Linked DNA regions of Canis lupus familiaris. The protein of the gene in region 5 interacts with the protein of the main gene of each other region in a biochemical or structural test. Links are inferred from orthologs where the notes say so. Each region holds a gene or a part of one and is shown on either strand. Other genes may lie near its edges. The genes, in order: SKP2, GADD45A, AKT1, CCND3, CDKN1A, ESR1 and CASP3.

What was found.
Region 1: of the proteins of CDKN1A (region 5) and SKP2, one has a biochemical effect on the other in vitro, tested with the Homo sapiens proteins (3 studies listed by BioGRID). The link is inferred for Canis lupus familiaris from reciprocal best matches to the Homo sapiens genes CDKN1A and SKP2.
Region 2: the proteins of CDKN1A (region 5) and GADD45A form a complex in vitro, tested with the Homo sapiens proteins (3 studies listed by BioGRID). The link is inferred for Canis lupus familiaris from reciprocal best matches to the Homo sapiens genes CDKN1A and GADD45A.
Region 3: of the proteins of CDKN1A (region 5) and AKT1, one has a biochemical effect on the other in vitro, tested with the Homo sapiens proteins (2 studies listed by BioGRID, with this or other methods). The link is inferred for Canis lupus familiaris from reciprocal best matches to the Homo sapiens genes CDKN1A and AKT1.
Region 4: the proteins of CDKN1A (region 5) and CCND3 form a complex in vitro, tested with the Homo sapiens proteins (2 studies listed by BioGRID and IntAct, with this or other methods). The link is inferred for Canis lupus familiaris from reciprocal best matches to the Homo sapiens genes CDKN1A and CCND3.
Region 6: the proteins of CDKN1A (region 5) and ESR1 form a complex in vitro, tested with the Homo sapiens proteins (2 studies listed by BioGRID). The link is inferred for Canis lupus familiaris from reciprocal best matches to the Homo sapiens genes CDKN1A and ESR1.
Region 7: of the proteins of CDKN1A (region 5) and CASP3, one has a biochemical effect on the other in vitro, tested with the Homo sapiens proteins (3 studies listed by BioGRID). The link is inferred for Canis lupus familiaris from reciprocal best matches to the Homo sapiens genes CDKN1A and CASP3.

The regions. Positions count from the first base shown.
Region 1 is NC_049225.1:73,293,850-73,297,789, forward strand, and holds the start of SKP2 (S-phase kinase-associated protein 2), read right to left. Parts: upstream 2,801-3,940; 5' UTR 2,578-2,800; coding exon 2,534-2,577; intron 2,045-2,533; coding exon 1,773-2,044; intron 1-1,772. UniProt on the Homo sapiens protein: Substrate recognition component of a SCF (SKP1-CUL1-F-box protein) E3 ubiquitin-protein ligase complex which mediates the ubiquitination and subsequent proteasomal degradation of target proteins involved in cell cycle progression, signal transduction and transcription.
Region 2 is NC_049227.1:77,929,188-77,933,173, forward strand, and holds the start of GADD45A (growth arrest and DNA damage-inducible protein GADD45 alpha), read right to left. Parts: upstream 2,801-3,986; 5' UTR 2,651-2,800; coding exon 2,607-2,650; intron 2,388-2,606; coding exon 2,286-2,387; intron 1,752-2,285; coding exon 1,517-1,751; intron 61-1,516; coding exon 1-60. UniProt on the Homo sapiens protein: In T-cells, functions as a regulator of p38 MAPKs by inhibiting p88 phosphorylation and activity.
Region 3 is NC_049229.1:72,720,717-72,724,216, forward strand, and holds part of AKT1 (RAC-alpha serine/threonine-protein kinase), read right to left. Parts: intron 3,019-3,500; coding exon 2,907-3,018; intron 2,766-2,906; coding exon 2,618-2,765; intron 2,476-2,617; coding exon 2,344-2,475; intron 2,264-2,343; coding exon 2,198-2,263; intron 988-2,197; coding exon 919-987; intron 812-918; coding exon 686-811; intron 615-685; coding exon 486-614; intron 405-485; coding exon 190-404; intron 1-189. UniProt on the Homo sapiens protein: AKT1 is one of 3 closely related serine/threonine-protein kinases (AKT1, AKT2 and AKT3) called the AKT kinase, and which regulate many processes including metabolism, proliferation, cell survival, growth and angiogenesis.
Region 4 is NC_049233.1:10,786,492-10,790,668, forward strand, and holds the start of CCND3 (G1/S-specific cyclin-D3), read right to left. Parts: upstream 2,801-4,177; 5' UTR 2,775-2,800; coding exon 2,577-2,774; intron 1,717-2,576; coding exon 1,501-1,716; intron 1-1,500. UniProt on the Homo sapiens protein: Regulatory component of the cyclin D3-CDK4 (DC) complex that phosphorylates and inhibits members of the retinoblastoma (RB) protein family including RB1 and regulates the cell-cycle during G(1)/S transition.
Region 5 is NC_049233.1:5,927,073-5,931,028, reverse strand, and holds the start of CDKN1A (cyclin-dependent kinase inhibitor 1), read right to left. Parts: upstream 2,801-3,956; 5' UTR 2,681-2,800; intron 1-2,680. UniProt on the Homo sapiens protein: Plays an important role in controlling cell cycle progression and DNA damage-induced G2 arrest. Involved in p53/TP53 mediated inhibition of cellular proliferation in response to DNA damage.
Region 6 is NC_049222.1:42,539,821-42,543,320, reverse strand, and holds part of ESR1 (estrogen receptor), read right to left. Parts: intron 2,923-3,500; coding exon 2,732-2,922; intron 1-2,731.
Region 7 is NC_049237.1:46,847,432-46,851,524, reverse strand, and holds the start of CASP3 (caspase-3), read right to left. Parts: upstream 2,801-4,093; 5' UTR 2,685-2,800; intron 2,228-2,684; exon of another isoform or gene 2,094-2,227; intron 1-2,093. UniProt on the Homo sapiens protein: Thiol protease that acts as a major effector caspase involved in the execution phase of apoptosis. Following cleavage and activation by initiator caspases (CASP8, CASP9 and/or CASP10), mediates execution of apoptosis by catalyzing cleavage of many proteins.

The DNA.
Region 1 (3,940 bases), on a different chromosome or scaffold from region 5:
TGATATAGATTTCCAGATCATAACCTGCCGGTTCTCTTTTCCAGTGAAAAAGTCAAAACCCAGAAACAATAGTTTTGTTTTTTTTTTTTAAAGCAACCAACCAACCCTTCTTCAAAGAAAGTCTGGTGGGAGAACTGAGGAATATACTTATTACCGTGGCTCTGCAAGACTTCATCTTAATTTCTTTTAATCTGCCTCTTATTCTTCCCCTATCACCCACCCAATTCCTGTTTAGGGTCCGATCGCCTCCTCTACAGACGACTTCAATAGCCTCCTGATTCTGTCAACTCTAATGTCAGAATCCATCCTTTTAACAAATCTCTAAGCTTCTATGCGTGACCCCCCTATAGTTTAATCCATACACATCAGTGTGTCCTTTTAACAGATGACATCACAAATCTGCTCAACACCACCTCTAGCCCTATCTCCCACTGCTCTCCCTTTTGCTCAGTCTGCATATGGCTTCCTTCTTCCTTGAGCAAACATGACATGTTTTTGCACCAGGGTCTTTGCACTGCCTTTGTCCTCTGCTTAGAGCCCTCTTCTCCAAGATATTTGCGTGGCACATTCCTCACACCTCCTGTATGCTTTTGCTTAAAAAGCTTGTGTCTAAGTGAGGCTATCCCTTAATATCTCTTAGTGAGGTTTAAAGTTGTAAACCATCTTCCAACCCCAGGACTTCCAATCCCTCTTGGCTTGTTCTCTACTTGTTTTTGGCCACAGTATTTACCACCTTCTTAACATATTATACACCACATTTATTATGTTTATTGCATCCCCCCTCTCAAACAGAAGCTTCATGAGAGCAGGAATGCTTATGTTTTGTTCCCTGCCTTATCCCCAACACATAGAACGATGCCTCCCACATAGCATGTGCTCAGCAAATATTTGCTGGATTAATGTTTTAAATGACTTACTGGCAAGAAAAACTGATAACCCTAAGTCATTGCACTGTGTTTACCCTATGGCTTTTGTACTCTTCGGATTCTGATCCACTCTGGGAGATACTCAATGACATGTCTGAGAAGCCTGGGGAAATGATATGGTGAGTTCTACATCTGAGTCAGTTCACTCTAGCTCTGGGGATGGATCAGGGGAGGATAAGACTGGAATTATGAGTCCATGCCAATATTCAGGCAAGAGATAATGAGAGTATGAAAAACATCTAGGAGACAAGAGGGAAACATTCAATGATTGGTTGGGGGCTGGAAGATGGTGGGAAGGGACTGGCCCTCAGGTTTCTGGCTGGGTGACTGAACAGATAATGTGGGCAGTAATGGAGACAGATCAAACCAGAAAAATCCCACTTGGGAGGTCCGAGGGATATAAGGCCCTACTCCTAGTTTAACATTCACGTTAGTAGTCCTTTGACAAATAACTAAAGCAATTATGGCAACAAACTCAACTGAAGCTACAGAGCAACGGAATATAAATAACAAAAATCCTACAAGATTATTGCTTATGTTCCCATTTAACAATGGCACTGAGCTGGCCTTTGAACACGCAGATTCCCTTCAAAGGGAAGGAGGCAGGAAGATCTTCTGGGTTAAAATTTCACATGGGTTAAAAGTCAATTGTGCACCTGGAAAATATATACCTACCAAGATTCCTGTAGATTTCAGTGACAAAGGGTTGTCCCATTGCTTTGGAAATCGACTTCAGAAGTAGGCAATTTTAAAAGCGTGCCATCCTAAAGATCGCTTAACAAAGATTAGCAATAAATAGTTCAGTCCACTTCTTAAGTGACCGACAGTTTTACCCTCATACCTTACCTGGAAAGCTGTCTCGATTTAGCTTAGGCCTGCGGACTATGACAAAGTCCTTGTCATTCCCCTTGCTTTTCAGCCGTTTTCGGGGCGGGCTCTGAGGGTGGCCCAGATTTGAGAGCAGTTCCTGGGGGATATTCTCACTGTCCACCTCCTCCTTCTCCAGAGCAGAGACCCCCATGCCCGACAGCAGTTCAGAAGTCTTACTAGAATCCCATCCCCACGTGAAGCTGGTGGTAACGTTGCTACTCTGGTCTGGAATCTCCTGGAGGTGTTTCCTGCAGAAATGCACAACAGCCCCGGTTTCTTTCAAAAACACACCCGTAAATAATTCAAAGATAGGCCTACATGAAACTCTAAGTTATGCAATGCAGAAAACTTTAAGAATTGCATTTTTTTTTAAAGTGCCGGCGGCGAGTTTCCAAGAAGGAAAAAAAGAAAATAACCGAACAAATCAAAAAGGCTTTTTGATTTACGATCACGGAGAAGGCCTCAAGAATGTCTTAAAGTGGAGGGAACAGACAAGCGGGGGGGGGAGGACGGGGGGGGGGCAAACGTACACCGGCAGGAAAGCTCAATAAGGGAAGGCAAAAACCGCACGCTGATCACCGCACTAAAGCATCCGGCCCCCCACACTTTCCCAAAGAAGGGGCTGAGCAACGATTCAATTACAACATTCACAACAGTATTAGCGCGTAGCAATATTCGCGGCCTAAAAGAATTGAGGCGGTTCATTCACTCTCAGCCCCCTTTTGCAATCGGTTTACCTATGCATGGCGTCCACAGCTTCTGGAGTTTTAAACGCGTGCATTAATTGCAGAACTGCACGCCTCCGGGATTCCCGCTTTGGCGCGCGGCGGCTCAAGGCGTGCAGCTCCGACCCCCAGCAGCGAGACCCGCGAACTCTAGCAACGTTCCATCCTCGCCGCGCGCGCGAGGGCTCTTCTACTCGCCCTCCGCCGCCGCCGCCGCCGCCGTCGGCCGCCCCGCTGCCTGCCGGGAACTGTAGTTTCCGTCTTGCCTCGTAGTCCCGCCGGCTCTGCGCGACGTCCTTCCTCGGCTGACTTTACCCGCCTCGGAGATACCCACAAGCCCCCGCGCCCGCGAGGCGGGGCCGTCCACGCGGTAGGCGGGGAAGCGGAAGTGGGCGGCGCTCCGGCTGCCTGGGAAATGTCAGCCGCCTGACTGGGGACGGATTTTCCTTACCCCGGAGCCTGCAGGCCTTTCTAGTGGTCGTCACCGCCGTCGCCCCGGATCGCCGGTCGCAGGTCCGGGACGGCTGTGGCGGACGCGGGGTTCCCGGTCCTTGTGCGGACGCTGTCTGGCCTGATGGGGAGGGCGTGAGCCCTGTGGGGTCTGCGGTCTGAGGCCGGGCGCTGGCGGAGATCGAGAGGACCTCGGAGACCCCGAGCCGCCGCCGCCGCCGCCACCGCGGGCCTTCGTTCCCGGCCACCGAGTGGAGGCGGCAGCCCGGTCCGCCGGCCAGGTGAGACGATGAGGGCCGCGGGCGTCCCACTTGCGCCCCCCCGCCCCCCCCCCGCCGCCGCCGCCGCCGCCGCGAAGCTGCTTCCTCCATCTGGGAGATAGTGACCCTTAGCACTGCGGGTCACCAGGTGCCTGTTCTGTAGGCACTACGGCTCCGAGGTTCCTCCCGAGAACACGCCTGACGTGAGGGGCAGATTACGCTTGTGGAAGCGCTTTGTAAACTAAAGCGCGGTTGGAAGGAGAGGCGGTGGCTTAATTTTAGGGGAGCAGGAGAACACGGCGGTTGCCACGGTGTGCGGTGGGACAGCTGCGCAGCCCCCTGGCAGCCCAGACGAGCTTGGGAACAGCTAAGGGGACGGTCGGTAGGTCTGTGAGGGCCGTGGAGCGCCACGCTCGGGGCCGCTGGGCTGCTCGCGCTCCGCCGACGACGTCCGGCGGCGTCGCCGTCTGAAAGGCGAGCTGCTGCGAGCCTGTCGCCGCCCGGGAGAGCCTGGGGGCGGCCAGAGCAGGGAGTGTGCCGCATTCCAGGTCGGATGACCGTGCGAAATCCACAAACGGTGACCCCTGGAGAACAGTGGAAGGGAGAGGGGAATAAATTCCAACCTTCAATTAAAAAAAATTAAAAAAAAAAAAAAAGGAGAGGATTGATCAAGTTCAGAAGTAAGCAGAGCCCTCTGCTAAGTCATCAC
Region 2 (3,986 bases), on a different chromosome or scaffold from region 5:
CCGGCAAAAACAAATAAGTTGACTTAAGGCAGGATCCTTCCACTGTGAGGAATGGGGATTCTGGAAACAAATTGAGAAAAATACATTTACTATTAAAAAAGAAAAAAAAGGCAACATTTGCTAATAATTACACTCATTTCGAGGGAAAGACAACTTGAGCATTCTGTACTTTGGCTGTGTGACAAGAGACCAGTTACAACCATAAAAAGATCAACTTTTTTCTTGGTAGCTGATTTCTGGGGAAACCACTACGTAATGCTCTAAAGCACACCCTGCAAGCCTGCATGCATGCAGCCCTCCGCACCGCGTACATGGGACTGCAGGATGTTTACTGCGTTTTTGCAGGAAAGTAGCAGAGTAGCATTCAGAGGCTTGTCCCCTGGAAGCCACCTGAGCGAGAAACAGCTCGGACAAAGATCTCCATGCCCCGAGCCCAGGGAGAGGCGAGCCCCTAACAGTTCGCTGGAACTGCCACCTGTCATCCTCCCCAAAGACAGGGTGGTAGTTTTCAGGACACGCAAAATGATTAAGCCGCCACTTACCTAGACCAGCCCATAAGTAGCAGAATGTAAAAGACAAAACTGTCCTATTTATCTCTGGAAACACAAGTCATCTTCCCACCAAAGGTAGTCATGGGGGGGGGGGGGGTCCATTAAAAAAAAATCCAAGATTGCAAATAAAAAACAATCCCCATTCCGTCCTCTTCGTGTATTTCTAGGGAATTAATAAGGTCGGTCTCCTACACCACTTCTATTTTTAGCTTGGAGCGCTGGAGGACGAAGCCGACTCCTTAATGAGGGGGAGCCAGGAATTTATTTGGCTGAACCTAATCTGCCTGCTAAGGGAGTCGGTCACGGGAGGCAGCGCCGCGGAGGTGGGGAGGGGCCGCCCTGCTGACTCACGAGGCTCCTTCCCCCGCGGCTCCCGCGTGCTCGGACACGTCCCGGCCCGCCCGCCCGCCGGGATGGGGCCACACCTGTCGGCTGCGGTCGGGAGCTCGGCCCCGCCACCGACCCCGGGGCTCACCGGCACCAGGACCCGGTGCACCCCTGCGCCCCCCCCCACCGCCGTCACCAGGACGGTCCGGCCCTTCCCCCGTGCACCACCTCCGCACCCCTGTGCACCACCCCCCATGCATCACCCCCCGACCCCGTGCACCACCCCCAGCCCCGTGCACCCCCGTGCTCCCCCCCCCCCCCGCCTCACCGTCACCAGGACGGTCCGGCCCTTCCCCCGTGCAACCCCGCGCACCCCCCCCCCCCGCCTCACCGTCACCAGGACGGTCAGGCCTTTCCCCGTGCACCACCCCCAGCCCCGTGCACCCCCGCGCCCCCCCCCGCCTCACCGTCAGCAGGACGGTCCGGCCCTTCCCCGTGCACCACCGCGCACCACCCGCAGCCCCGTGCACCCCCGCGCCCCCCCCCCCCCGCCTCACCGTCACCAGGACGGTCCGGCCCTTCCCCCGTGCACCCCCCCGACCCCGTGCAACCCCGCGCACCCCCATGCCCCCCCTCACCGTCACCAGGACGCAGTGCAGGTCCGGGGGCTGCTCGGCGCCCTCGCTCGCGGGGCCGGCGTGGGGCTCGAGGAGCAGCAGCTCGGCCAGGCGGCCCGGGTTGCTGACGCGCAGGATGTCGATGTCGTTCTCGCAGCAGAAGGCCTGGATCAGGGTGAAGTGGATCTGCAGCGCCACGTCCCTGTCGTCGTCCTCGTCGGCCGCCAGCAGGCACAGCACCACGTTGTCCGGGTCGCTGCGGGCGGCGGGGGCGGCTGAGCGCGCAGGCCCCGGGGTCCCAGGGTCGCGCCCGCCCGCCGCCCCCCGCCCCCGGGCCAGGTGGGGGGCTCCGCGGGGGCAGGTGGAGGACTCACTCCCCGCGGGCAGGTGGGGGGGGCTCCCCGGGGGCAGGTGAAGGGCTCCCCCGGGGTCGCCTGGAGGGGCTCTCCAGGGGGCAGGTGGGGGGGCTCCGCGGGGTCGCCTCGGGGGGGGTCTCCGGGGCAGGTGTAAGACTCACTCCCCGGGGGCATGTGGGGGGCTCCGCGGGGTCGCCTGGGGGGGGGGGGTCTCCGGGGCAGGTGTAAGACTCACTCCCCGGGGGCAGGTGGGGGGCTCCCCGGGGTCGCCTGGAGGGGCTCTCCAGGGGGCATGTGGGGGGCTCCGCGGGGTCGCCTGGGGGGGGTCTCCGGGGGGCAGGTGTAAGACTCACTCCCCGGGGGCAGGTGGGGGGGCTCCCCGGGGGCATGTGGGGGGCTCCGCGGGGTCGCCTGGGGGGCGGGGCCCCACTCACACGTTGAGCAGCTTGGCCGCCTCGTACACGCCGACGGTGATGGTGCGCTGACTCAGGGCTTTGCTGAGCACCTCCTCCAGGGCGTCCCCCACCTTGTCCATCCTGCCCGGGAGCCAGCGCGGGGCGCGTCAGCCCAGGCCCGGCCCGCCAGCCGCCCTCCGACCCCATCGCCCTCCCCGAGGCCGCCGCCAGGGCCCGCGGGGAGGGGCGCGTCCGCCCGCCCGCCCGTCCGTCAGTCCGTCCGTCCGTCCGTCAGTCCGCCGGCGCCTCGGGGGCGGTGCCCGGGGCGGGCGGGGGGCGCTCGGGAGGCCGCCGCCCTACCTTTCGCTCTTCTGCTCCGCGGCCGAGAATTCCTCCAAAGTCATATTGCAGCCGCGGGTCCGCCCCAGGGCGCGGCGTGCGGGCTGCTCGGGCCTCTGCGGGCGCGCGGCGCCTGGCGTCTGCACCGCGTCCGTCGGCCCGTCCGTCCGCCCGTCCGCGGCCCCGCTCCGCCCCGCCCCTGCGCCCGCCGCCGCCGCCGCCGCCGCCGCCGCCGCAGCCACTGGGACAAAGGCCCCCTCGCCGCCCTTATGGGGCCGACCGCAGCCAATCACCACCCGCCTCATTTGCATGCGCACAGCCATTGGGTTATGCAAATCAGCCTGCTCCGACCATGTGACCCCGGCTCCAGGACCCGCGGGGAGAGGAGCGGAAGGGGGCGGAGCCACGCGGAAGGCGGGCGGCCTAGGGGGCGGGGCGGGCGGCCTAGGGGGCGGGGCGAGCGGCCTAGGGGGCGGGGCGGGGAGGGGGAGGGCGGGGCGGGGAGGGGGAGGGCGGGGCGGGGAGGGGGAGGGCGGGGCGGGTCCGGAGCCGACTCTGATCCGGTGGGAGGCTCCGAGGAGGGTGGGGGGTCTCTGCAGCGGCGGGGCAGAGGGGTGCCTTCCACTTGAGCCCCGAGCAGGCTGCCAACTGTTTTTCTGGTTGGTGCACATTTTTATTTTATTGTCGTTTCATGTCTTTTGTTTTTAGCAGTTGCTATTAAAGTCTATTTCCAGGGCTAATGCACCCAAGTCTAGTAATTATTAGTAAGCAGGTTACATAAAAAGAGTGTTTCAGACCTCTGGGGCAAAGTTGACTTCAGAAGTGTTGTTTATGTAAGTCTAGGCAAAGCTGCTTATTAGTAGTAGTATTATTTCGGTGCCCTGATGGCTGGTTTGATTTATTTTTGGAAGGTTGCAAGGGTTGGAAGCTCAAAAAAGAAAAATCAACACATTTGTGTTTGGTAATGGCACGGAACCAAGCTGGAATCTTTTCCACGGAAAGCAGAGAGGCTTCCCACCTGCCCAGGGTGACTCTGGAAACCGTGGTCAGGAGGGGGGCCGCATGTGCAATTGCTAGACTTACGACCCAAATTCACCTTTCCCGAGAGCTTTTCCCAAAGGAGGACCCTTCTGCACCTGCCCCAGCTAAGAGACACACACGTCTGACGCCCACACAAGTCTAAATTCAAAATACTCTCAATATGCCCTGAGCTTCCTTTCATAAGGCAAGTATGTCACTACCTTCCACAGAGAGCCTGTGATCTCACTGTGAGTTATTGATGTTAGATGCTGAATCATGAAGCTGCAGCTATAGGACCTTTTAGTCATACGCTAAAATTTCACCTTTGAGATAATGGCAACCTGTGGGTGGAAAGCAAGCAGAAGTTAACACACTTCTGAA
Region 3 (3,500 bases), on a different chromosome or scaffold from region 5:
GTGCTGCCGGCAGGGCAGGGTCTTCCTGAGCAGGTGTGAGAGGCTGCGAGGTCCCCATCGGCCCTGGCCGAGGACGTCACACATCAGCCACCAGCGTGGCCCGGAGGCTGGCCCGCTGTCCCTGGGGGGCACGGGCACGGGGGTGGGGTGGCCCACCAGCCCCCTGCTGGCTCAGGGCCGCGGGCTCACCTCTGCTTGGGGTCCTTTTTGAGCAGCCCTGAGAGCAGGGACTTGGCCTCAGGGCTGAGCGTGCGCGGGAAGCGCAGCTCCTCCATGAGGATGAGCTCGAAGAGCTTCTCGTGGTCCTGGTTGTAGAAGGGCAGGCGGCCGCACAGCATCTCGTACATGACCACGCCCAGCCCCCACCAGTCCACCGCCCGGCCGTAGTCGTTGTCCTCCAGCACCTGGGGACGCAGGGGCGCGGGTCACAGGCCGCCCGGGGGACGCGGGGGCCCAGGCCCCCTGGGGACGCGGCAGGTGCGCACCTCGGGGGCCAGGTACTCGGGCGTCCCGCAGAAGGTCTTCATGGTGGCTCCGTCCTTGATGCCTTCCTTGCACAGCCCGAAGTCCGTGATCTTGATGTGCCCGTCCTTGTCCAGCATGAGGTTCTCCAGCTGTGGGGGGGCGGGTCAGTGCCAGCCCCACCCCCTGCAGCGCACCCCCCAGGCCGCTCCCGCCCGCCCACCTTGAGGTCGCGGTAGACCACGTTCTTCTCCGAGTGCAGGTAGTCCAGGGCCGACACGATCTCGGCGCCGTAGAAGCGCGCCCGGTCCTCGGGGAACACCCGCTCCCGGGACAGGTGGAAGAAGAGCTGCGGGACAAGGGCGTGACGGTGTGGGGGCTGCGGGCCGAGACCCTGCCTCCCGGGCGGGACCCCAGGGCTCAGGGCCAGCCCCACGCACGCCGCGGCCACCCTACCTCGCCCCCGTTGGCGTACTCCATGACGAAGCAGAGGCGGTCGTGGGTCTGGAAGGAGTACTTCAGGGCCTGCGAGGGAAGCAGAGCTGGTACGCGGCCCCCGGGCCCCGCAGGACGCCCGACGCCCACGGGCCGGTCTTGAATCTCAGGCAGGTAGGGTCCCGGAAGCTGGCGATCCTGGTGACCGCGTGGAGGCTTCCCCCGGGCTCGGGGCCCAGCGCGGGACGGGGTACGGTCGGCAAGGGGAGGACACGCCTGGGCAGAGCTTCCCGGCCGCCCTCCCACCCCACACCACCAGCGGCCTGGCCGTACACGGACCGAGTCGTCCCCACAAGTGACTGACCCCGGGTCTAGCCCAGCCGCCGGGGAGGAGCCCCATCCACGGAAAACACAGGACAGGCTGGTCTCTACCGGCCACAGACTCGGGCAGCGGGGATAAGCTGTGCCCCGTGAGCCCTGTCCCCTTGGAGAACCTGCAGAGGGGGTGCCACCGCCAGGGCCGGGGGTGGGGGGGGCAGCGTGCACGGACCCCGGAGGCCCTGTCGAGCGCGGCAGGGTGCTGTGGTCATGGGGGTGCGCTGAGGGGGAGGGAAGGACACAGAGCCTGGACACGAGCAGCAGGAGCAAGGTGACACAAATCTCAGGCAAAGCCAGCATAAAGAATGAGTCTGGGCTAAAAAATGAGACCTTCTTTAAAAATGTCGGTCACTTCTCCTAAGAAAACGTTTTAAGGAACAGAAACTTTAGAGAAGTACAGCCCCTTCCCTACTTTGCTCCTGCTTTGGATCAGGCGGTCCCCTGGGCTGAGGACACCCTGAGTAGGTGACGCAGCCTGGGGGTGGGGGGGAGTCCCAGGGAGAGCCCGGGTGGGGGCAGCGCCCGGCCAGACCCTGCAGGTGAGCGCGGGCCCATCCACACCTCCCAGGAGCTGGCCGAGCCCGGGACGGCGCTAAGGCTAACGGCTTTCCGGACGCTCCTCCTGGGCCAAGGGCCCCCCAGGATGAGACCCTCCTGGCTCCAGCCTCAAGGGGGGAGTAGCCGGAAGGGGGCGTGCAGGGCAGGCACGGGGGCTTGGGGTCCTCCCAGGGCCTCGGGCAGCGCGGGGGGAGGAAGACCCCATTCCGTGCACGGGGGCACAAACCACCCCCGCCTCCCGGCATCCTCGCAGGTGTGCCCACCCTCGGCCAGGCACGCGGGGCTTCCGCGGACAGGCTGGTGGCAGGGAGCCCCCGGCCCAGAGCCTCACCCCCGCAGGCAGCCCGGCGCCTCCAGGACTCACCGTCAGGAAGGGATGCCGAGAGTTCTGGAGAACACGGTTCTCCGTGAGCGTGTGGGCAACCTCGTCCTGGAAGACAGAGCCCGGTGAGCCCCCGCCTGCCCCTGCCCGCCCCCACACCCCGGCCAGGCCCCGGCCCCGTGCCCCACCTTGGCCACAATGACCTCCTTCTTCAGGATCTTCATGGCGTAGTAGCGGCCCGTGGCCTTCTCCTTGACCAGGATCACCTTCCCAAACGTGCCCTTCCCCAGCAGCTTCAGGTACTCAAACTCATTCATGGTCTGTGGGGCGGCGGGCAGGCACCTGGGGTCAGGGCGGCCCGGACCCCCCCGCAATCCCGCATCCCAGCCCTACTCCTCCCACAGGGCTCCCAGTGGCCACAATGGGGCGGCCAGGCCCCTCTGAGCTGGGGGAGCGCCTCACCACACGGTGCTTGGGCTTGGCCAGGGACACCTCCATCTCCTCAGCCCCCGAGTTGTCACTGGGCGAGCCCGACCGGAAGTCCATCATCTCTTCCTCCTGCCTCTTGAGCCCGTCGGCCACTGTCTGGATGGCAGTCGTCCACTCCTCCCTGCAGGGCCGGCACGTGAGGCCCCGTGACCCCGGCCTGGACACGGGGGACAGCGAGGCCTGGCTCCCCACAGGGCGTGTGCCCTCCCCACCAGGGAGCAGAGGCCCCGGCACCCAGCTGCCCCGTGCATCCATCTCATACCGCTCCTCGGGTGTCTCCACGTGGAAGGTGCGCTCGATGACCGTGGTCCACTGCAGGCAACGGATGATGAAGGTGTTGGGCCTGGGCCGCTCAGTCTTCATCAGCTGACATTCTGGGGGCAGGGCTGGCAGGTGAGTCTGCACCCCCGCACACAGGGCCCACCTGCCCCCGGCCCCGGGACCCCACCACCAGGTCATGCAAAGCCCTATCCCATTCCCATTCCACGCCTTGGCTCCCCTGCTTGTAAAACCAGGGGTGGGACCCCTATTCCAGTCCTGACACTGTGCTGGCAGGCAGTGAGGTGCCCCTGCAGGGCTGGCTGAGGCCGGGTCACCTCGGCCCCATGTCATCCTCTCCCCTGGTCCTTCGGTCTCTGAGCCCGTGCTGCATGCCAGGCAGCTCAACTGGCCGGAGGGAGGAGGAGGAGGGATGCCCCAGGGGCGGGGCAGAGGAGGGAAAGCAGCTGGCCCCCGAGCAGGAACCCCCTGCCATTTACCCAGCCCACGCCCCCCCCAGCAGGGCCAGTCCCAGGGCAAAGGCCGGTGGGGACTCACCCTTCAGAGACGCCGCCTGTCCTGGGCAGGCAGCTGGAGG
Region 4 (4,177 bases), about 4.9 Mb from region 5:
TGCAGTCCCTTCCAACTCTGACCTTCCAGGAAGGCATCTGCACACTCCACCCCCCAGCTCACGCAGAGGGAGTGGAGGAAGAGTCCTTGTGGCCTGTTCTAAAAAAACTCCCCTCGCACAAAGGCACACACACCATGCCAGTCTTTTCACAAAAAGGAAGTCCCCTTCTACCTTCCAGCCCAAACCCTCCAAAAACATCTTGCTCACTGGCCCTGGAAACCGGCTCCACCTTCAGACTTGCCAAAAACTACCAGATTCATCACAAAGAGCTGTGGGGCCTCCCGGAGTTCCCAACTCTGGCCTCCTACTCCCATCTCTGAGAGCTACTTGGCAGGAAGAGGAATCCTGTTCCTCGACAAGCAGCAGTCGGGGGCCCCAGTACCCTGGCTTCCCGGCCAGCCAATCACAGCAAACTGCATGCTGCCCTCCTCCCCAGGAGATGGGGCCCAGAGACTCCTCTCAGGGTCAGGAGAAGACTTGGCTGGCCACAGAGCAAGGTGGAGGAAGGTGCCAGCTCACCCATCCTCTCCCCCAGGCCCCTCAGGCCCCCCAGGAGGTGATCTGCCTGCCCTAAATAACCTCTCCCAGACCCAAGCAGCTCCCCCACCCTCCTCTCCAGGCTCAATGGGGAAAGAGAGCCTTGACTCTCTTGCCTGCCCCGGGAAGAGCCCAGCCCAGGTTCCCAGCAAGAGGCCTGGGGAGCCACTTCCCAAACCACAGGAGTGACAGCAGCTCCCCACAGGGTTATGAAAGACCTCAGGGCAGAGTGGCTGGGCCAGGGGAGGGGGCGGCATTATCACATCGGAAGCAGCTGCAGCCTGGCTCCCTGTCGCTCCCTCAGCTCTGGCCTTTGGCTAAGGGGGAAAGGGAGAGGGGACTCCAGCAGGCCTGAAGCAGCTGCTCAAGTTCCTCAGAACGAGGACATGGAAGGAGCTCTGTCTTCTGGGATACAAAAGGAAAGAAACAAGGTGGGATGACAACTCCTCAGCCCTTCCTGAGAGCAAACGGCCTGACTTTAAGCCTGACTTTAATCGGCTCTGGCTCTGGGAGGCTTTTCAATCACAAAGTCCACACTGCGGCAAAGAGTCAACCAAGGCAGCCCCCACCCCCACATGAAACACATTCCACTCCCCCACTCCAGTGGGGGTGTGCAGGCATGTCTTTTTGCTGCCAATAAATAACTCATGGTGGCTGTGTAAACCCAGAGGCAAAGTACTAGTGAGTATAGACATGCAGTTTGACTTGTTGCTATCTGGGGGAAAGACCAGGAAGGAATGGCACCCCCTGGAGGTCAGAAGGGGATTCGATTGGTGCTGGCAGCTCCAGCTCAGGCTGGGGAGCTACCCTGACTGTCCCACCCTGACAGTGCCCCACCTTTGGTCCAAAAAAAATAAGCTTCTGCTACCCTCCCCAGGGCAGAAAAGCTTTTGAGGTCTTGGTTTTCCTTTTCCTGGTAAGTGAGGCGGTACTGAGTCGGGGTGGGGAGAGTCATGCACGCACCCGCAGCTGGCGGGGAGAGACAGAGTGGTCGGTGTAGATGCACAGTTTTTCGATGGTCAGGGGCGTAGTCTCGCGCAGCTTGGAGGCCAGCAGCATGCAGACCGCACCCAGGAGCTGCAACTGCGCCTTTCGGGTGGGGACGCAGGACAAGTAGCGATCCAGGTAGTTCATGGCCAGGGGGAAGACTTCCTCCTCGCAGCGCTGCTCCTCACAGACCTGGGGGAGGGCGCACAGTCACTTCTGGGGCGAGGGCATGGGAAACGCTGCCGCACTAAAAGGGGAGAGGGGTGGCGCTGAAAGGGAAGTGGAATGGGGAGCAAAAAAAATGGGAGGGGGGATAAGTGTGCCTTCAGTGACAAGGACTAAGAGACGGAGGAGGATGCGCCTTTCCCCCAAGGTGACGCCCCCCCCCCACTTCCTCTGAGTTGCCGGCCTCCTTTCCCCCTCCCCCGGGGGGTGGGGGGATACGCCAGATACGCCAGAGGCTCCCTTCCTTAAGGATTCCAAACTGGGACGGCCCTCCCCCGTGGCGAGAAGGGGGCCGGGGAAACGGAAAAGTCAGCCCCGGTAGCCAGCGGACTGGGACCTTACCCCCATTACAACCACCCACGGCACACACCCAAAGGGAAGGGAGGAGACTCCCGCCGCCGCCTCCCGCACTTTTCATTTCCCCGACTGCCGGAACCGCGCGCGCGCCACCCCCACCGCGCTCCCCGCCCGAGCCCCGCGACCGACGCAGGCACCGGCTCTGGGCGGGGGCGGCCGAGCCCAGGCTCCTCCGGGCGCGCGCTCCGGAGCCCGAGCGGGGGAGGGCAGGGCAGCGGGGGGAGCGCGCCCCCCGGGAGGCTCAGTGACGGTGCCGAGCGATCGGCAATCAGAGTCAGGGCTGGGGAAGGGACGCGACGGCGCGGGGGCGGCCGGCCGGCCAGGGCGCCCGGGCGAATGGCCAGGCCCCGCGGGGCTGAGCCACCAAAGCATCTTGCTGATCGCTCTTGGGACCAGGATGTCCCGACAGGGCGGCCCGGGGGATGTCCGGAGCCGGGCGGTGAGGGAGGGGAGACCCTTCCGGGCGATACCTCCAGCATCCAGTACGCCAGCATCTTCCGCATGTGCGGCTTGATCTCCCTCTGCACACACTGGAAGTAGGAGGCGCGGGGCACGTAACGCTCCTCCAGGCGGAGCAAGCTCTGCAGGACACGCTGGTCCCCGAGCAGCCGCGGGTCCGGCCCGGCCCGGGGCGCGTGCCGGGTGCCCTCGCAGCACAGCAGCTCCATGATCGGGCAGCGCGCGGGCGGGCTGGCGGGAGGCAGGCGGCGGCGGCCGGAGAGCGCGGGGCGCGGGGCGCGGGGCGCGGGTCTGGCGCTGGCGCTGGCGCTGGCACTGCGCGCGGAGCCCCAGCCCGCCCGCGCCGGCGCGCGCGCCGCTTCCCTGACAGGCGCCCCGCCCCTCGCGACGATGTAGCAACCGTGGAATGCTCGGGCGGCGCGGCGCGGCGCGGGGCGGGGCCGCCGGAGCCCCGGACGGAAAGGGCTGGCGGGCCGCCCCCCCCCCCCCCCCCGGCGGCCGCATTGGTCGGCAGGGCGCGGGCCGGCCGGCTTCCGGGCGCTCCCGGGCCTCCTGACCGCCCGCCCGAGAGCCGCTCCTAGGAGGCGGGCCTCTTCCCCAGCGGCTCGGCCCTCCCCCGCTGGCTTCTCGGGCTCTAGCCGCCCGGGAAAGAACCTTCTTCCAGGGGGTTATTCATTCATCCGTCGGACCCCGCTCGGCCCTCCTAGCGCTCTGGGGGAGTGGGAATACGGCCATTCATGAGCCGGCCGCTTCCTGACGCAGCTGATCCGAGCGCTCGGCGTGGAACCGCTTCCCCGACGATCCCGAAAACCCCACGGGCCGGGTAGTCCCCTCACTTGGCGGATGGCGAGGCTGGAGCCCAGCAGCTGGAGCCCAGCTGAGCGTGGCAATCACACATGGCCTGTGGCCCCGCGAGCACCGGGAAGCTGAACCTGGCCCCAGAACCCTCACCGCCTTCCACCCCCACACCCGCGACCCGGCGACACTGGCACTGCGGGGGCTGCCCCATCCCAGACACTTAGCACCTCTGTAGGATCCCTGGTGACCCCTGTGCCCGTGGGGCGAGGCTTGGTCTAAATCTGCCTATTGCAGTAAGACAGCAGGGGGGAAGCCATGGATTCAAGGCCTCCTCACCTTGTCATTAGTTTGGCTGTGTGGCCTCGGACAAGCCCTGAAGTTGGCCTTAGTTTCTGTTGGAGGAAAACACGGGCGGAGAAAATAGATCCTCTGTGAAGGAGTTCCTTGCTCAGACTCTCAAATCCTCCCGTTGCCATTTCTTCTACTTCCCACACTTTGGGTTGTTTCGCTGTTTTCCCCCAAAGCTGGATTCTATGTGGCCAAGAGGCAGACCACAGGAATCCCCCGTTAGGCCCCGAATGGGAGAAGGCCTGAGGGATCCCTCTGCCTCTCCTGGGGTCCTCCCCAGGAAGGAGCCGCTGAAAGCAGTGAGTTGTTAGAGAAAGGACAGTTACAGAAGAAGCAAGTTTTATGCTAAGCATGTTCTTGATGAATTGTTCTTTTTTTTTTTTTTTTTACGTTTTTTTATTTCTTTTTAAATAATCTCTACCGCCCCGGGTGTGGACCTCAAACTCACGACCCCAAGCTCTAGAGT
Region 5 (3,956 bases):
TTTTTTTTTTTAACAGAAGAAGTAACTAAGACCTCAGAGAAGTAAAGTAACTTGCCCGAGGTCACATGGCTCACAAGTGGCACAGCCAGGATTTGAACCCAGGCCTGTTTATCCTGGGTTCCGTGCTCTGGTGTTCATCCTTACTCCCTCTCTAGTTTTGTGTTCCTAACCAGAGGCCCAGCAGAATCACTTAGGGAGCTTTTTAAAAAATACAGGTTGATAGGTCCCTCTCTTCCCAGAATAACTCAAACTAAAGGGGATTTAAGCCCCTGGTTGGCTCAGCAGTTGAGCATCTGCCTTCGGTGCAGGGCCTGATGCCGGAGTTCAAGGGTAGAGTCCCACAGCCGGTTTCCCGCAGGGAGCCTGCTTCTCCCTCTGCCTGTGTCTCTGCCTCCTCTGTGTGTCTCTCATGAATAAATAAATAAATAATCTTAAAAAATAATAAAATAAAGGGGATTTAAGCAGGTGTTTGGCAGTTCCCCATATGGGCACTCTTGGGGTGCCTTTCAAGAGAGGATACACAGGATGGCCTCACTGGCACAAGGAGGAGGAGCCTGCCTTGGCTTTTCACCAGGAGGCTGAGTATTCCCAGGCTTCTAGGCGCTCAAGATGGGACCAGAATCCAGGCAAGGATCCTCTCTCCTACCACCCTATGGCCCTCATAGGCTCCTCATCAAAATCTGATCTCATTCCCATTATCGTAACTCCCAGTTCAGAGAAAAGTCAAATATAAACCCTTATTTCACAAACAACCGAGAATAGCATCCTTGGTTGGCCTTCGTGTCTTAGACTTCAGCCAGTTTTAATTCCGAAGTAACCAGTAAGCACTGAGCACCCCGCGATGAGCCAACGGGTCATGCTTTTTCAGGGGCGTTCGCAGCTGCGGCTCAGGCTCAGCCGCGGCGCAGCGAGGCGGGAAGGGAAGGCGGGCTTGCTACTCGCTTCGGGGCCGGACGGGGGCGCCGGTCTCCAGGAAATCACGCGCAGGGTCGGCGTGTGGGCAGAGCCGCGAGCCGCCGCCGCGAGCAGCGATGAGTCAGTTTCCTGCGGAGCGCTCCCCGCCCGCCACAACTCTGCGTGCGCTCGGGCTGCAGCGTCACCCTCGGGTGGGGAGGGGAGGCGGGGGGCGGACCGGGGGGCGGACCGGGGGCCGCGAACACGTCACGCTGAGCCAGCCAGGCTTCCGAAAGCCCCGCCACTGTTGGAAAAACGCGCGCGCCTCCGTGACACACACACACACACACACACACACACTCCGCACGCAGAGGCGCGCAGAGGTTTGGTCCCTCCACCTTATCTCCACGCCCAAAGCACGGGATGAGTCAGATCCCTGGAAAATAAAAATAGACGAAAGCAAGGAAAACAGAACCGCTCGACAGTCCTCGAACCGCGACGTGGAGGCAGGGAAGGGGGGGCAGGGAGGGAGCCGCCCGGGCACCCCAAAGCGCCAAACCCAATTCCAAGATTCTTTTCCGCAAGAGGCGGGCGCCCGTGTCCCCCGAGGGCCCCCGACGGGGGGGGGGGTGCACGGTGGCCCGCGCTGGGCGGCGGCGCCCAAAGGACGGCTCGTCCTCTCGCTGCGCGCTGAGCAGTCGCCCTCGGACAGGGCAGTTTGGCGAGGGGCGCCGGGAGCCCCCGGATGTGGCCGTCAGGGTGGGACCAGCCTCCAGATGGGACCTCTCCGGGTCCCTCGCCCCGCGCGTGGGCTGCACGCCCCGCGGCCCCGCGGCGCAGGTCTCCCCTCCCGCTGCGGAATGCGGCGCCCCGACCCCAGGGCAGGCGGGGCGCGAAGGAGGACAGGTGTGTCCGACCCCTGTTCTTCTCCCACGGGCCGGCTGGAGCGAGCCCAGCCCGCGCAGGGCCACCGCTCCGGGTCCCCGAGGGCGCGCTGCGAGGCGGGGACCGGACACCCAGTCCTGGACCTCCCGATGTCCCGGCTTCCCTGAGAACACTTTGTGCCAGCCAAACAGTCACTGTGCCGATCGGGGCACAGACACCCGGGGCGGGGAGGAAGCCGACTTCTGGGGCGCCACTGTCCCCCAGCCCGGGCGGGGCTCTGACCGCACCCGTCCCATTTCCCGGGGTCTCCTTGTCACCGTGAGTCACCTCCTCGATTGCCCTGAAAGGATGTGTCCCAACACGTTCCCAAGGACCGGGGGGGGTACGCCGCCCGCGCTGACCTCAGCGCCCAGCCGGTGGCGGACGCGGAGGCGTCGGGGACCCCGGCCGCAGGGGTCTGGGCGGAGACGGCGCGGATTGGATCGCAGCCGCCGGGAGCGGAGGGCGGTGAACCTGCCGGGCTCGGCGTTCCCCGCCCCTCCGGGGGCTCCGCGCCCGGGGGCTCCCTCCGCGCGCCGCCGGGGGCCTGGGGCGCGCGAGTCCACGCCTCCCCTGGCTCCAGGGCGGGGGGCGCGGCAGGGGATCCCCCGCTCTGCTGCGCTCCCGCCGCCCCGGGCTTCCGACACAGCCCGACCTCCGGCACAAGCGCACCTTCCGGAGACACCCGTGGGAGCCGAGCCCAGCCCCACGCGCCGACCCACGCACGTCATTCACCTGTGAAGACGGCACGCGCACGCACACACTCACCCGCTGGGACACTAACACACACACACGAGGCGGACACCTCGGCCGGGCTCCGAGCCGCCGGCCCAGGCCCCCTCGCCGGCCACAACGCCCTCACCTCCTCCGAGGGTCTCCGGCTCCGCGAATCCGCGCCCGCCTCCGCTCTCCAAGCCACCGTCTCCCGCAGCAGCTCGCGAGCTGGCACCGCCCGGTGCCGCCTTATATAGGGACCGGCCGCCCCGCCCCCAGGCCTGGCACCGCCCCTTCTGCCGCCGTCCGCCGCCGCAGCTCGCAACTCGCCGGCGGCTGGAGACCTCCGAAGTCAGACGCCTACACCGCGGGCTGCAGGGGGGCGCTTCCCTCCCCGCCCCGCGCCCCGCGCCCGGCGCCCCGCGCCCCGCGCCTGGGTCCCTGTGCTTGACATGTTTCCCCACTAACTGAGCCACAGACCGGGGTTGTTTTCGCTGGGTTGGGAGTTGGCACTCCCCACGAAGGGATGGCATTCTTAGGATGAGCCCTTCTTCTGGCCCCGAGAAGATCACGAGGGGTGACATTCATAGATAACACTCCATAAATAAAAGCATAAAGGATGTGCCTCGCTCGGCGATTTCCAGAAAAGCCCACTATACCGCCAGTCTTCCCACAGACCCCTCACTAGACCGCCTCTTCCCAAGCACCCAGACACGCCAACAAAGCATCTTGGAGACCAGAACCGGATTCGATCCCCCTTCTTTCACAGATGAAGAAATTAAGGACCTCAGGACTAAACGGATGCAAAGTTGTTGCTCGCCCAATGCCCCCGGGGAAGGAGGGAATGGGGAATACTCAGAAAAGGTCAACCAGGTCTCCAGGGGAAAGCAGGAAATGGGGGAAATTGGACATTGAACCAACCTCCCTACCCCTCCTCCTCGTGCCCACATCCACCTCCTTCTCACCTCAACAATAGAGATCTCTATGATTGCAACAGATTTTTTTTATTTTTTTATTTATTTATGATAGTCACACACACAGGGAGAGAGAGGCAGAGACACAGGCAGAGGGAGAAGCAGGCTCCATGCACCGGGAGCCCGACGTGGGATTCGATCCCGGGTCACCAGGATCGCGCCCTGGGCCAAAGGCAGGCGCCAAACCGCTGCACCACCCAGGGATCCCGCAACATATTTTTTTTTTTTAGATTTTATTTATTTATTTATTTATTTATTTATTTATTTATTTATTTATTTATTTATGAATGAGACAGAGAGAGAGCAGGAGCAGAGGAAGGGGGAGAAGTAGGGAGAGAGGTAGAAGCAGACTACCTGCTGAGCAAAGAGCCCAACTCCAGGCTGGATACCAAGACCCCAAAATCATGAAGCAAAGACAGATGCTAAACCAACTGAACTACCCAGGCACCT
Region 6 (3,500 bases), on a different chromosome or scaffold from region 5:
CCAGACTTAATTTTAAATCAAGAAAACTTCTCATAGCCTGACTCAACCCCCAACAGGACTGAGTGACATTTGGACTCCTCTATAAGACCCTCCACTCATCCTCATCTTGGCACTTGTCACACTGTAATTTAGTTGCCAATTTTTTTTGCACAACTCTCTCACTACCTTTTAGGGTCTATGAGAATGAGGACTATGCCTTTCCTATAATTTTATCTCCAGGACTTTCCACAGTGTTCTGGCTAGTAGAGGCAATCAATGAATAAATAAATGAATTAATAAACAGAATCATTTTTAAGGTCCCTCCTCATGTCTAAAGGTACTATCTTTGTCTCATTTCTATGCTTCTTCTAAAACTTTGGACTCAATATTCACCTCATTTAGTAAAGCTTATTTAAGTGACTTCATACCATAATACGAAGTTTCTGAAGCCAGGCAGAAATTGTAGCTTATGCAGTTTATATATAGTACAATTTTATATAATTTATAGTACAATGAAATCCTACTGTTTAGTCTGTATATGTAAGATGGAGATAAGATATATATTTTAACCATCAAAGAGTAAGCAGAAATTTTTTTTAAATGTTTGAACTTTTGATAATGCCATATACCAATAAAACATTTTTTATTAGCTCACATTTCCTTCACTATTTTTATAAGTGTATTTTTCTTTTTTCCTTTTTTTTTGCTCTGATACTTTAATGCTCAGAGTATGATGTGAAGTTATACAGTACAATCTTCAATGCTGAACAAATAGGATAAAAATAATTTGTGAGAATATTGGTATTGTTCCTTGAAGACAGGTCCTTTTTATCTTCAATCTTAGTAATTTGACCTTTATAACTGAAAATATTTATTTTCTTATATTCTTCTATTATATTCCTTATCTTTATCATATAATTGCACTTCACCTATACTGACTTACTTTCTAATTATATCATAAGAACAAGTATCTTTGCCACCCCAATAAATTTCCCAAATAAATTCCAAATTTTGTGGGAATACAGATTATGTCTGACACATATTTTGATTTCTCTCAGAACATCTAGCACAGGTACAGAGTAAGTTTTTAATAAATATGAATAGTCAAAACTTTAGATTTAGAAACATCTATTCCCTTTCCATGCATTAAATCAAGGGTTAGCAAATTATGGCTCATAGGTCATTTCTGGTCAGTTCTGGCCTATTTTTGTGTATAAAGTTTTATTGGCACACACCCATTTACTTATATATTGTCTATGGCTCCTTATGGGCCACAATGTCAGGGCTGAGTAGTTGCAACAATGACTGCAAAGCCTAAAATAGTTACTATCTGGATTTTTACAAAAAAAATTGTTGCTGAACACTGCTATCAATGATTTTTACAGATGAGAGAACTCAGTTTCAGATAAGTCAAGTTTATAATTGAACCTGTTCACTAAACCTACCTCTGTCAGATGATTTGTCAATACCAGATTAAATATTTGGTGAAAATAATGCTATTTTAGAATATATAAAAGCAAATAAACAGTAATATCACAAATGAATATGGTTGTTGAAAGACCTTTCAGGGCTTATCCTAACTTAAACCAAATAGAAATGCCATTTTTCTAAATTAAGACAGTATCATTTGGTAAAATTGAATAATCTATGTTGTTTTAACACATAGATATGTGTATATATACATATCCATGTATACATTTATATATATTTATACATATATATTACATATGTGTGTATACATGTATAAAAAAAATTTGCTATCAGAGAATATCATTAATTTTATTTAAGAAACCCAACAAAAAAAGTGCAAATCTTACAGTAGATTTCTAAAAGATGTTGAAAGTAAGAACTGTCAAAAAAACTGCTTTAAAATGGACTGAGATAAATATATATATATGTATATATATATATATATAAAATGAACCAAGATAAAGTTAATTCAGCTAACCTAAACTCCTGTCAGACTGCTATGCCTGTCAGACAAAGAATCTTTAGCATAGATATTTTGGGTAGTAGAAATGATTGATGTTTCTCCCAGAGCATCCTCTAAAATGCAACAATATAGACATTCTTGGAATAAAAATAAATTGCAGCTGTCAGTATAAGGGTGACTTGGTAAGCCACATATAAAAAAAGGATCAAGGCACACAGGTGAATGAAATGTTACAAGTAAATACTAACTGCTTATACTGATAATATGTCCCCTATTACAGGTCACCAGCTATTGAGTCTTCTCATTTTAGCAAAAGTCATATCATCTACTGAGACAACAAAGAGGTGGAGGAAGAACAAGAGAAGAACAAGTCAAGTTAGAGTTGATGCAAAGAACTGGTGCTCTGGAGCAAAGATCAGAACAGAATCCATATCTGGACACAACCAAGGTGGAAGGTAGTAATGTACAGACAATTCGTATTACATGTATTGTATAAGCCCCGTTGCCTGCAACACATGAATATCTGAGCACAGACCTCTGGAAACCCAGCTATTAAAATCCCCTTCCTGTTGAGTTGCTCAAGACTGCTTGGATCTTGCCAATGGAAGGAGCATAATTACTCAGCCAGCCACAACTACCCTGGTCTTTGTCAACTCTTTCTACCGAGAACTTTTTTATATTCATGTTTCTACCAGAGATACTAATGGACCTACCAGGTATTAGTGTTTTCTACTACAAATGGCTGCTCATATGCCTTCTTTCTTCAGTTGCTTCCCTTCAAGATTAAAGGGAAATAAGTTGTTTTCAACACACTATTACCTTGAATACTTCTCTTGAAAAAGGCCTTACAGCCCTCACAGGACCAGACTCCATAATGGTAGCCTGAGGCATAGTCATTGCACACTGCACAGTAGCGAGTCTCCTTGGCAGACTCCATGGCCATGTTTCCTTTGTCACTGGTACTGGCCAATCTCTCTCTGCCACCCTGGCGTCGATTATCTGAATTTGGCCTGGAAAAAAAGAAATAGGAAAAAATAAAAACAGTGAATCTATTAACATTAGAAAAGCAAAACATGTACACTCTTCTAAAGAATAAGAGGCTTGGGGGATGCAGCAGATCCACTTTATTCTGACATTTTGAAATAATGAATCATAATGTAAGCTAATCTTTCATTACCTCTTGCCAGCTGTTACAGCAAAAGGTGTTTGCCTATTCTATTAACCTTGAGGGGAAATTGTTTATTGCAAACTTGCTTAAAAAATGGACTGCCTACACCAGAATATATTATTCAGAAAATGACAAAATGAAATTAGCTGGTTTTTAATAGATTTATTCACTTTTTTTCAGGGATTCACAGTTAATGAAAAATCATCAGAGACCAATGGTTATTCAAATTCTACACACACTACGGATCTTTAGGAAATAGAGAAAAAGTATAAACCAGCTGGAGCATTTGAAACTCAAATGAACTGATGAACAACATAGAACATCTATAGAAAGGTAACAATTCAAATTTTTATGTCATCATTACCATGTAACCCTGGATACCAGTTTTTATCACTTGACTATACCTTCAAGGTGCCATTC
Region 7 (4,093 bases), on a different chromosome or scaffold from region 5:
CACTATTCAAAGCTGTATTTTGTATTTCATATATATATGAAGGACCTTCATTCTATATTTGCCTGTTATAAAAATGATAGATAACCTACAAGGCCTCCCCCGCCGCCCCGAACCACTGCTCTGTAAAAGCAGATTCTGGTTTACAACCACTTGGTTAAAGAAATCCTGCCTCCCAGAGGTTTGGAACTGTAAAAAGTCAAGAGCCAGTTATTTTTATACATTTGTCATTTGGGCTGTAATCATTTACTGAACTGTGTGCAGAGTACTGCAGTAAACCTGAGGGTAGGTGTCCTCATGGGGGGCTCACACCTGTACTCTCTGCTATCTGGAAGTGGCTCCCTAAGGCAGATACCACACAGTGCTGGGTAGGGACCAGAGAATTTTATCTTACTCTACCCTAATTCAGAAGCTCTATGAACTATTTGCAGGGAAGAACAAAATAGGCAGAGGAATAACATTACATAGTTACAAAGCACAGTCAACAGACCTCTCATTTTATACTCACCACAACCCTGTGAGGTGTCTATATAATTTATGCCTAATTTATGAATGGGCTAGTAGTAAGTTTTGCCCTTGGGACTTGGCCTAGAGTGGCCTGACAACAAAGTGTCTGTCCCCCTCCAGGACATTTGTTAAATGTGTACAAAACATTATCTAACAGTCTAAGAATTCCCATCTCTCGTTCTGGGCCCAAACACCAGTGCTTCACATTTAAGGCAGAGTTTAAAGATCTAAACAGTAGGCACCAAAATTCTTTTAAAGCCATACGTGGAAAAAAAAAAGACTGTTTTTTAGCACTGAAGGGGGATGAAGCAGGAGATTGTGTTAAATTGGGTTTGAAAGCAAAACAGCAGAGAAACTTGTAATTGCCTATATCAGATAACATGTCAGTCTCTTAAAATGGCAGGAAGTAAGGCCTTTTTTTTTTTTTAAAGGAGAGCAAACACAAATCTGATTTAATTGAATACAATGTTTCATTTCTTTTTTACTGAGAAGGGGTTTTACTGCCACACTCCAATAGCCTGTTCATTTATTAAAACACGTTCTAACTTTCAAAGCCTTCTTCTGCAAAAGAGCAAAGCAAAACCAAAGCTCAAACATCACATTGTGATAGGGATGATTTAAGCTTTAGACTTCATTCCTGGAGAACATGTAACTTCAACACATTCAAAGCGGCGGCTGAGTACATTTTGATACAGGCTGGTCTAACCACCTTGCTTAGTGCCTGTGATTATCTTGCGAATATTCATACTCACGTTGGTATAGCGACTCCCTATTTCACTTCTACTATTCCCTTCTGATTCACATCTTTTAATTATAATTTACTAAGTAAACCTAAAATAGGCTTATTTTTTCTAGACTGGGCATAATTATTAAAAAAGCACAATACTGTAGTATGGGCATTAACTTGGGCCAGGCCCCTCTGTAAAGGGGGAAAACAATTAGGAACAACAAGATAACAAGATAAACATGGTCCCTCCTGGAATCTGCTTACAAAGTAGTAAGGAAAACAGTAAACAAAACAACTGCAAAGCATGGGCCAGCTGCCGTTTAAGAAATGCAGGATGCTAAAGGAACTCACAGTAGGAAGACCTAACCTTGAGGTACTTAATGAGAACAGAAACCTAAGTAGGAGTTCCTCAAGCAGATGTGATGTGTAATGATGGGAGAGAGGGAATATGCAGTGTTCCAGGCAGAGAACAGGTTCTAAGATCAGCCTGGCTGGTCAGTAACTGAAATGGTAGTATCACAAAAGATAAGGCAGGGGAGGGGATCAAGGAGACACAACCTATGCTTGGCTTTGTTAGCCTTGTTAAGGGACTGGATTTGTTCAGTGGGCAAAGGAACAGCCTTCTAGAATTCTATTTTATAAAGCTCACTCGGCCTGTGCTGCGAAGAATGGGATGGAGTGGGGGAAAGGGTCTGGAAAAGCCAAGGAGGCTGCTGTGGCCAGGTGAGAGCCTGGGGGGGAGGGGGGTTCTCAAAAATGTACAGACGTGGACAGATCTAGTGCCTATTTTAGGGGGTTCAGAAGGAGGCTTGATGGCTAACGGGGAGAGGTGGCTGCGGTTCTCGGCTTGGACGCCACTTACGGAGGACAGGGAAGGAGGCAGCCTGTGCCCGGCGAAGCCCGGCGGGACAGGGTGAGAACGGCACTCTCCAGGGGACTTCGGCAGCGGATGCGAGCCCGGGAAAGGGCGGCGCGGCCTTATGCAAGCCTTCGGGTCTGAAAAGTAAATGGAATTCAATGCTGGAGGCTAGTTCCCCGGAAAACCGAGTCGCACAGCCAAGGCAGGAAAATCGAGGCCCGAGACCAGACGGGCTTCCCGCGCCGCTCGGCACCCCCTCCCAGGCTCGCCGCCGCCCGGCCCCGGTGCTCCCGGCCCGGCCTCTCGGGCCTCCAGGCCGCCGGCTCCGCGTCCTCCAGCCGGATCTCCGTCCCCCGGCCTCCCCGACCCCCGCTCGGGTCTCCCGCCCAGCGGCCTTCCGTGCACCTTCTCGCAGCCGCGGAGGCGCCGGAACAAAGGATCCGCCGCCCGGGAGCAGCTGCAAGCCCAGGCGGGTCGCCGGGGCGGGCGGGGCGGGCGCGGGGCGGGCGCGGGCGGGCGCGGGGCTCGGGAGGATGGAGGAAGCCGGCGCCGGGCGCACAGGCTGCGGCGGGAAGACGTGGTGGTTGCACTCACCGCACAGACTCCGGGGAGCAGCCAGGAGCCGCCTCCTCTCCGCACCGGGTCGCCTTCCAAACGCCCAGCCTGCGGCGCTTAAAGGTGTGCTCGCGGCTGCCCTGCCCCCGCTAGCCCCGCCCCGGCCCCGCCCCGGCCCCGCCCCCTCGCGCTCCCCTCTGCGGGACACGTCCCGCTAGCCCCGCTCTCTCTTGCCCCACCCCCCCAGCTCGCTCCCTCATAGGCCGGCGCACGCGTCTCCCCGCCCCCGCCGCCCCTAGGCCATAGGCCGGCGTACGCGTCTCCCCGCCCCCGCCCCACCATGCCGCTCCCTCATAGGCCGGCGCACGCGTCTCCCCGCCCCCGCCCCACCATGCCGCTCCCTCATAGGCCGGCGCCCTCGTCTCCCCGCCCCCGCCGCCCCTAGGCCGTCCCTCATAGGCCTGAGCGTCGCTTCCTGTGGACACGCCCTCCCCGCGCTCTGGCCTCGGCCACGCGCTGGGTTGTAAGACGGGCCCCACCTGTTTCTGCGAACCCCGTGGGTTTCCGCCGGTCGCCAGTGTTTCTGAAAGTAAAAGGAGGGACGCCTGAACGCCTCGCGAGGCCCGAGGAGCAGAGAGTAGGGAGTCAGAGGCCGTCCTGACGCCCGCTCAGACCTCCGGGAGGACGAGGAGCCGGCGGCGACCCGCCCCCCAGGTGCCCCGGGCCGCGCCTTACCTGCCCCGCCCCCCCCGCCCCTGAGTCCTCGCCTGCGCTGCGGATCTCCCGCCTGGTTTGGCTCACGAACTGCGTGCAGACCCGAAAGCAAGCACGGAGTTGTTTTCTTAGAAGAGTGTGTCAGCACAGTCGAGCACGAAGTTCCGCATCAGAGGTCAAGAGGTTCCGAGAGGTTCAGGACGTCCTTCCAGGTCCCGGACCCACGTTAGGCACTAGCCTCGCCCCCAGCATTTCTACCCATTCGGTTAAGAATCGGGGGCTGTAGTTTGTACATGAATGAATACACATCGTTAAGTATGCGTGGCAGCCCTTTGGTGAATGCTTAGTACTTTTTTTTTTTTTTTTTTTTTTACAGATTTCTTTGAGAGAGTAGAAGCAGGCTCCCCTCTGAGCTGGCTTGATCCCAGGAGCCTGGGGTCATGACCTGAGCCAAAGGCAGACACCCAGGAGCCCCTACATTTTCTCATTTTATCCTTTTAACAAGTCTTGGAGGCAGGAATCCCAGTCCCTTCACGGGTTTAAGAAAGTTACGTCGTTTTTCCTTTTTGCTAAAAAGAGAAATACCGAAATCAGATTTGGATTCCAAGGAGGAGGCTTGGGCCTGCCTTTGTCCCTCCCAGATTGAGAGAGGGACAATCAGTGTGTTTGGCAGGCCTTTTTCTGCTGCAGTAAAACTGAAGAACAGGATCCTGTGCAAACCCTCCCCAGGGGCT